2 linked regions of the Neurospora crassa OR74A genome follow. The protein of the gene in region 2 interacts with the protein of the main gene of each other region in a biochemical or structural test. Links are inferred from orthologs where the notes say so. Each region holds a gene or a part of one and is shown on either strand. Other genes may lie near its edges.

Evidence for each region.
Region 1: the proteins of NCU03479 (region 2) and NCU06314 form a complex in vitro, tested with the Saccharomyces cerevisiae proteins (3 studies listed by BioGRID). The link is inferred for Neurospora crassa OR74A from reciprocal best matches to the Saccharomyces cerevisiae genes YSH1 and CLP1.

What each region holds. Positions count from the first base shown.
Region 1 is NC_026504.1:2,943,412-2,947,694, reverse strand, and holds NCU06314 (hypothetical protein), read right to left. Parts: upstream 3,007-4,283; 5' UTR 2,347-3,006; coding exon 1,737-2,346; intron 1,666-1,736; coding exon 1,399-1,665; intron 1,302-1,398; coding exon 1,039-1,301; 3' UTR 559-1,038; downstream 1-558. Other genes in the region: NCU06315 (inositol hexaphosphate kinase 3), read right to left, coding at 3,780-4,283. UniProt on the Saccharomyces cerevisiae protein: Component of the cleavage factor IA (CF IA) complex, which is involved in the endonucleolytic cleavage during polyadenylation-dependent pre-mRNA 3'-end formation. Associates with HRB1/CF IB to form the cleavage factor I (CF I) complex.
Region 2 is NC_026502.1:550,960-555,486, forward strand, and holds the start of NCU03479 (endoribonuclease ysh-1), read left to right. Parts: upstream 1-1,540; 5' UTR 1,541-1,866; coding exon 1,867-2,016; intron 2,017-2,088; coding exon 2,089-2,186; intron 2,187-2,580; coding exon 2,581-4,391; intron 4,392-4,487; coding exon 4,488-4,527. Other genes in the region: NCU03480 (hypothetical protein), read right to left, coding at 1-884. UniProt on the Saccharomyces cerevisiae protein: Component of the cleavage and polyadenylation factor (CPF) complex, which plays a key role in polyadenylation-dependent pre-mRNA 3'-end formation and cooperates with cleavage factors including the CFIA complex and NAB4/CFIB. Has endonuclease activity.

The sequences.
Region 1 (4,283 bases), on a different chromosome or scaffold from region 2:
ACCCATTCGGAAAGATGATGCTCTACGTACCATAAGAAACTACTGTAGGACAGCGATATTTATTCCTAGTGGAGGATGTACCTCTTTCTCCAGCAAAGTGAATAACCATTGCTGATAGAGTTACGAAGTAACGTTTTTACTGACTCCCGGAGGGGAGCATGTCAATGTACAGGAAAATTTACTTGCCATGCACATTTAACGGTGCCCTGGTGCCCTTGAATCCCCTTATATAGGTAACTCGTCACGCTCACTATGTGATTCTAGCGATAAGGTGAAGGTAAATGACCTACTGCATATAATGTCATTCGTCCGAATGGTCACCATCAGTATCATAGCCTCATGGGCCAGGATAGAAAACAAGAATAGGGGGAACCAACCATAAACAAATCGGTCACGTTCTTAGACGAGTACCAAACGGGAAGACTCTATACTATGTTACAACCAGCGTAAACACATTGCACATAACTTGTTTCTATTCCTAACAACGTTTAACTTGAGACATATGTATCTCGGCGTCTTTAATTTGATCTACTTATTACTGTGGGAAAACTTGGATGTGAGCTTTGCTGATATAGTACGATTACTTTCTGAAGCTGGTTAGGAACTCTCCATTTCGAGCAGAACGTTCAAAACTCTCAAGAGACCAAAAATCATGCTCTCTACCACGAAACCCATATCAATGAGTGACTGGTAGATATGAGTGTTGCAAAAAGCATACAACTGACTGATGCCTTGCGTTTTCAAGTACCAATAACAATGTTCAACAAGAATCAAACAAGCCACCAAAGGAGAATAACAAGGTACCAAATCTGTTCCCGCTCACTCTCATGCTAGTCAAAAGACACCCAAAAGCAAGAATAACAACAAACACCTTTACATGCCATTTTCACCATTTTCCATCTCGAAGCCCAACCCAACGCCAGCCGTATCCGTCAATTTTTGCCACACCTTCAAGCAAACCCGGAGATCATTTGTCTCTTGCAGGCTCAATTGGTGACCACCATCTCTCATCCGTACCCGTATCACGTTTCGGCGAGCCTACGCCAGGAGGTTGAGATACGGTTCCGGCCAGCGTCCCCATATCAGCGGGTGGTTGCCCAGCCGACCGCTGACCGGCGACAGGAACTTGACCCGCCTGCGCTCCTGGTCCACGTCGGCGATGACGATGAAGCCCAGGACCGAGGAAAAGCGGATGGCTTGCGGCGAGTCGGTCACGGAAGCGATCATGACTGCTAGCGTCCAGTGGGCCATTTCGGGGGTGATTTCGACTCGCTCGAGGACTGGGGCGCCTTCATAGGGTTCTGTTTTGGTAAAGACAGGCGTTAGCTTAGGTGCCAGGTAGGGTGAGGTAGTTTCAGTGCAGCGAGAGAAAGAGAGTGAGAGAGAGAGAAAACTCACCGTCAGGCGCCTTGAAAACGACTAGTTCGTCGAAACTGGCTGACTGTGTAAAGGGGCTCAAGCGCGCCTTAATGCCACCAAAGAAGTATTCCTTAATCGCCGTCTCTGTAGACTTCTGCCTCCACGCCTTGTCAATCTGTACAGCACCATCCGACTTGTCTAACCCGAGGACAGTAATCGGCTCTTCAAAGCTCGTCTTCTCGCTTGCGAACCGCTGCCCAAGTTCTGTCTTTAGCTGTTCAGAGCCTAGCACCACAACGAAGTTTGCTATAGTTGCATTGTTAGCTTTCGTCACTCTTGATGAGGTCTTTCTGGAGGCCAATCAGACATAAACTCACCATCAAACTGCCTAACCGCCCACCCCAACAGCTCCTGCCCCTCTTTGTCCCCCGCCTCCACCGGCGCCGTATCAACCAACAACCCCGCCACCCTCACATCCCGATTCCTCTCAAACTTGCGCCTGGCCAACACCGCCAGCCGCTCCGTCATCTGCCTCCACATGTCCACGTCGTCCTCCACCTTCTCGTGTCCAAAGTAAAATGTGAGCGGGTTCTTGACTGGCACCGCGCTGGGACCGCTGATCGGCGTGTTCGTCACGCCAAACCCACCCGCCGGCTCCTCCACGTCCATCAACGTGCCGAACACGGCCGCACCCAGCGTTCCGGGTAGACACAGCAGCCCGTCGGTCGGGTTCAGATTGGCTACCAGCGGCTGAGAGCCCATGCGCGTGGCGAGGGCAGCGAGGAGCTTCGCCAGCGAGGTCTTGCCGACGCCGGGTGGACCACAGATCAGCACTCTTGGCCCGGGTTTTGACCTCGCTACTCCTGCTCCTGCTCCTCTCCCTTGTTGCTGCTGCTGGTGGTGTGTAGGATGTTGTTGTTGTGCCTGAGCGGCCGCGGCACGCTCGTGGTCTTGGAGGCCAAAGTGGAGGTTGATATAGCTAAGCATGGGCGACTGTTCCGGCGGGTGTTCAACCACGCGGTCCTCGAGGGGGTAGCCGCCCGTGTTGTTGATCTCCAGAGTGCATCCTTGATCGGTGAAGAGCTTTGATTTGGTGCCGGGGAGAAATGTGTAGACGCAGTTGGGCGCGAGCTCAGTGCCATCGCGCTCAGCAGTGCCGGCGACGAGGCGGACGGTGACTCCGGCGGCGGAGGAGTTCGATGAGAAGGTGCTGTGTTGGTGGGGGATGGAGAAGCGCCATTCGCCGAACGGTCGGAGGTTAATGGTCCGCTGGGTGGTTGTGGGAGCCTGGATTACCGAAAACGGGCAAATGGCAGGCGATGGTTAGCTGGTTGTGATCTCGGGTCACGAGTGTGCCTATGGATAATAATGGCTTGTGAGGAGATGGTGATGCCGTTGGATACACGTGCGCGCCTGGGGTTATACGAAGCATGTCCGCGCGAGAGCTTGGGTTCGTTTACCTGCGGGGCTATCTGACCGAGGCCTGGAATTGACATTGCGGGCTGTGTTCAGCGCGTGAACGAGGTTGTTCACAGGCTGTTGGATATGTACTTGTATTTCGTTCTCCTTCTTGTAAGGTTCTGTTTGCGTTTGCGCCGATGGGGGTGAAAGTTGTAAAGTCCAGCCGTTGGCATGCAGGGATTCCAGGTTATTGTGGCATGCAATGGAACCTAAGTGGAAGACGGGGAGCTGATGCTCACTGCAGCAAGGCCAGGGCTGTTGAAGCTGAGGTGAGTTTAGCGGCTGCGGGCAGTGGGGCTCAAACGCTGTGTACCCTGAAGGTACTAAGCGTGTCAAGGGCATTCATTGAGGTTGTCTTACTCCAGACTGCCAGGTGTAATTGTGCTTTCCGCTTCCACTTTTCGTCCCAGTTCGAGTGTTTGAAAATCGAGTTAAAAGCAGCCCGTTTTAGTACCTATTGCCTCTAACCAGCTGCTGGTGAGTTTGTCAAATTTCAGTAGCATGTCTGCCTTCATAGCAGATTTTCAAGAAAAAACATTGAAACAGTAAAATATGGCATATGGTTCCAGCGCAAGTTGTGAATTGCTGTCACAGACAACAACAACATCAACAACAACAACCACATCCAGATACTACAATTACGTTCAAGTTGTGGCAAGATCGGATAACAGCGTACAACAAAAATAAGGGGTATATTGCGTGAAAAGAATTGCCGTCCCCCTAATAGCCCGTGTGGCTGGTTCCCCTTCTTTCAATGATGTTCGTAACGGACGTCAAAAACCTCTCCTCTACCTATGCATATATATTCGTATATGCTCTCTTCCCTTTTCGTCTCTTTTCCTTCCTCTAACCTGCCCGTGACATGCTCTAACCGTAGTCTCGCAAGGTAGCCCCAATTGCAATCCCAAACGCCTTGAAATGCCGCCTTAACTCCACGATTGCTTTCGGAAACCCGCCCTTCAATCATCTGCCAGCTGTTCAAAGATCTTGATCAAACTCCGAACGCCAAACAGAGCATTCTCGTCTGGGCCTTGCCCGGGTGTCCACTCGGCATGTGCAAAGTCAATGAGTTTGAGGGAGTAGATGCGAGGAATATCGCCGTTCGAGGAACCCGACATGCTGTCTGCGTCGGAATCGGCAGTGAGTTGGATGTCTTGGGAACCAGGTGCCTGAGCCAGGTTCGCCAGTATCATGTTTTGGCCGATGGCTGCGTTGATTGGAAACACCATCTGCCCCTCGTCATCCATCTCGATGCCACTATCAACGCGAGATGCAGATAGACCTGGCGTGTACGGTCCATCATCCTTCTTGTATTGCTCTCCCGACATGTCAGCTCGGGTCCGGTCAAGGGCAGCTCTCAACGCGTTGCCGTCTCCTTCGAATGTGAACAGCAAGCTCGCCGAGTACATTCTGCTCTCCTCCGAAGCCAACACCTCCTCGATGCGCTTTAGGTCATTGAGGAA
Region 2 (4,527 bases):
GAAGGCACAGCCAAAGGCGTGGATGGCTGAGAAACGCTTCCGTTGGTGAAGGACTGGGTGTATTGCTGCAGACCTGGCGATTGTATCGTCGCAAACTTGGGACTAGCTGCTGGCGGCGTCGGGGCCGCGGCCGACTGAGGCGTAGTGGCGTAGTTCTGGGGAAGGTAAGGCGAGCCCGGCTGAGAGGCAGGACTTGCGCCGGTCTGGGGACGCTGCTGGTTCGGCGGTATCGAGAACTGCGCTTGGGTGGTGGGCGCCGGAGAGGGTGTGTGCTGCGGACGAGCAAACTGCGGTTGCTGGTGGACTGGCGGGCTAGGGTGTTGGATCTGAGGTTGCTGCAACTGGGCCTGGGGATGCTGGAGTTGTGGATGATGTTGCTGTTGTTGCGGCTGCGGGACATGCTGCTGCTGCTGCTGAGGATGTTGGGGGTGTTGTGGTTGTTGTTGAGCGTGTTGCTGGTGAGTTGGGGCTTGCTGGTGCCCTTGCTGATGGACCTGTTGCTGTACACGTTGCTGCGGCTGCTGTTGCTGTTGTTGTTGCGGCGGCGGCGGTTGGGTCTGCTGTTGGCTATGTTGTTGCAACTGTTGGGGAATTTGGCGAGGCTGGACATGCTGCTGAGGTTGCTGGGCGCGTTGCTGCAGCTGTTGCTGAGCAAGGGCTTGGGCTTGTTGTTGAGCGAGCATCTGGGCACGTTGTTGCTGTTGTTGCTGGAGCTGGAACTGTTGCAACTGCGGCGACATTTGTGGTGGTTGCTGCTGCTGCTGCAACTGAGGTTGTTGTTGTTGTTGTTGTTGTTGTTGTTGCAACTGAGGCTGCTGCTGTTGTAACTGAGGCTGCTGCTGTTGCAACTGAGGCATCTGAGGCTGTTGCGGTGGTTGCGCCATGGTGATGGGGCGCCCTTGGGGTGGACAGATGAAGGTCGTCGTTGATAATAAGCAGCTATTCCTTGTCCTCCAGCTGACGGCGAGGCTGAGCTCCCAACTGATCAAGTGCTCAGGTTCCCGTCACCGTAAACCCAAGTGGAAGCAGGCGAACCTGCGCTGCCCCTCTAGCTACGCCGTGTCTCTCCTTCCATACGCCGGTCGCTCGTATCGATCGGTGTCCGAGTTGGTCGATGTATTTCTCGCTCGTTGGAGTATCGTCGTGGTCGACAATTAATTGTCGTTTGGATCCGCGGGAGTGATGGCGACGGTGGGAGGTTATGAATCGGATTGTTGGGTGAAGCACTGGAGGAGGGGAGGTCGAGGTCGGGTGGTCGGAGAAAGAATGACGAACAATAAAATCGAAAAGAGGGACTCTCGCACACGAAGAACGACGGGACCAGTTGCTGCCCGCCGCTGCAGGTTCAATTGCTTGTTGCTAGCGGCGGCACGAGCTCCACTGAACCTCAACAAGGGTCGCGTCTGGTACGTACAATGAAGTGAGTGAGCCAGTCACGTGTGAGATTGGTGGAAAATAGTGGGGCATTTGGCCGTTGACGGTTGTTGTGCGGCTGGCTTGGGACCGAAGAGGGACTTCCGGCAGGCAAATCAGCCGCCAACTTCAACCTCACTTCATTCAACGAGCACTTGCCATCTTCATCCAAAACGCATTCAACATCCATCAACGAAATCACATCAAGGGCGCCATCCATATTCACGGCGCGTACTAATCCGTGATATTCCGTCTTTCTTCTCACGTCGACTGAGCCACGTCATCTCGCAATTGACGTGCGTAATTCGCGTTTCAAATCGCATCGAAACCGCCACACTTTGCCAATCAAACAATCGCAGTCAGCAGCTTGAAAGTTCCCAAGTATATACAGGGCGACGGTGGGAAAGCAAGGATTTACGCGTGGAGCGAACGAACCAAAAGAATACCTAAGCCATGGCTTCCAAGCGGAAGGCTTCGGCAATGGCGACGGAGCCAGAGGAGCCGGTCGACCCAGCGGATGAACTCATGTTCCTCAACCTCGGCGGAGGCAACGAAGTCGGCCGATCATGTCACATCATCCAGTACAAGGGCAAAACCGTTATGGTGCGCAAAATCAACCAAAATCAATCACTCCTCCCAACGAACATGGGCTGACCTCTCCGTGGGTTGTTGTAGCTTGATGCTGGCCAACATCCAGCATATGATGGCCTAGCTGCCCTTCCATTCTTTGATGACTTCGATCTCAGCACAGTAGATGTCCTCTTGATCAGCCAGTAAGCCCAACCCCCTTCACCCCCTTTTTTTGCCATGGCCTACAATTATATGTATGCCCGTCTATCCGCGAGAGACAGTGCCGCAGTGTTTGGCTTGGGACAAGATGGGTTGATGATCGAGCTGGGCTCTGGATATACGCCATCGCCAGTGACTGACACGTTGCTCTATGGTCTCTGCGGTTCTTGTCCGCTTTGCAGCATTGTACCGTCCATCATATACATGTATTCAGGAAATGAAAATACAAAAGAATTTGTCGCCATTGCCCGCTCTTCTCCTTTTCCCCCTCCCATCTTGTCTGCCACTCGCGCTGCATGTTCTCTGTGAAGCACTGTCCTCGCCCATAGTCGCCTACCTGGTCCAGACCTTAGCCGAGACTGACTGCCCACTCTCTAGTTTTCATATCGACCATGCCGCCTCGTTACCATATGTCTTGGCCAAGACCAACTTCCGAGGCCGTGTCTTCATGACACATGCCACCAAGGCTATCTACAAATGGCTTATCCAGGACAGTGTCCGTGTTGGCAACACATCGTCGAACCCGCAATCGTCGCTCGTCTACACCGAGGAGGACCATCTCAAGACCTTTCCCATGATCGAGGCCATCGACTACAATACTACCCACACCATCTCCTCCATCCGCATCACACCATACCCAGCCGGCCACGTCCTTGGCGCCGCCATGTTTCTGATTGAGATCGCCGGCCTCAAGATCTTCTTCACTGGCGACTATTCCCGTGAAGAAGACAGGCATCTTATCTCTGCCAAAGTCCCCAAGGGTGTCAAGATCGACGTCCTCATCACCGAGTCCACCTACGGTATCGCCTCGCACATTCCCCGACCAGAACGTGAACAGGCCCTCATGAAATCCATCACCGGCATCCTTAACAGAGGCGGCCGCGTCCTCATGCCCGTCTTCGCCCTCGGTCGAGCCCAGGAGCTCCTCCTCATCCTCGACGAGTACTGGGGCAAGCACGCCGAATACCAGAAATACCCCATCTACTACGCCTCCAACCTCGCGCGCAAGTGTATGCTTGTCTACCAGACCTATGTCGGCTCCATGAACGACAACATCAAGCGGCTGTTCCGCGAGCGTCTGGCCGAGTCCGAGTCCTCCGGTGACGGTGCCGGCAAGGGAGGACCATGGGACTTTAGGTTCATCCGCTCCCTCAAGAGCCTTGACCGCTTCGAGGACGTCGGCGGCTGCGTCATGCTTGCCTCCCCTGGTATGCTCCAAAATGGCGTCAGTCGCGAGCTGCTGGAGCGATGGGCGCCGAGCGAGAAGAACGGCGTTATCATCACCGGTTACTCCGTCGAGGGCACCATGGCCAAGCAGCTCCTTCAAGAGCCAGAGCAGATTCAAGCCGTCATGTCTCGCAACATTGCCGGTGCCCGCCGCGGCCCCGGTGGTGACGCCGAGAAGGTCATGATCCCCCGTCGCTGCACCGTCCAGGAGTTCTCCTTTGCTGCGCACGTTGACGGCGTGGAAAACAGGGAGTTCATCGAGGAAGTCGCCGCCCCCGTCGTCATCCTCGTTCACGGCGAGGTGCACAACATGATGCGTCTCAAGTCCAAGCTTCTTTCGCTCAACGCGACCAAGGAACACAAAGTCAAGGTGTTCAGCCCCAGAAACTGCGAGGAGCTTCGCATCCCTTTCAAGACGGACAAAGTCGCCAAGGTGGTGGGCAAGCTTGCGTCCATCCCGCCTTCTTTAAAGGAAGCCAAGACCGGGCATGACGGACCTCTTCCCTCCTCTACCGAACCTCAGCTTATCACTGGTGTTTTGGTGCAAAACGACTTCAAAATGTCCCTGATGGCTCCGGAGGATCTCAGAGAGTATGCTGGCTTGACGACCACCACTATTGCGTGCAAGCAGCGTTTGAAGCTGAGTGCCGCTGGTATTGACCTCATCAAGTGGGGTCTCGAAGGAACCTTTGGTGCCGTCGAAGAACTCCCCGAAGTGAAGCCAAAGCTGGAGATCGTTAAGAGCGAGAACGGCGATACCAAGATGGAAGAAGCTGATGAGGAGTTGCCCCACGGTGACGACGTGGTAGCCGCTTACCTGGTCATGGGATGCGTCACCGTCCGCTACCGTGCCAGCGGCGAGGTAGAACTAGAGTGGGAAGGCAACATGCTCAACGACGGCATTGCTGATGCCGTGATGGCCGTGTTGCTTGGTATTGAGAGTAGTCCAGCTGCCGTGAAGCGTATGTCCCTTTTTCCCGTTCCCTTCCCGTTCTTATTCCCCTTTCCCTTCCCCTGGCCCATTTCTTCTTACATATCCCATACTAACTCCAATCCAGGCTCGGCCACCAAAAACCCCCACACCCACTCCCCTCTCCC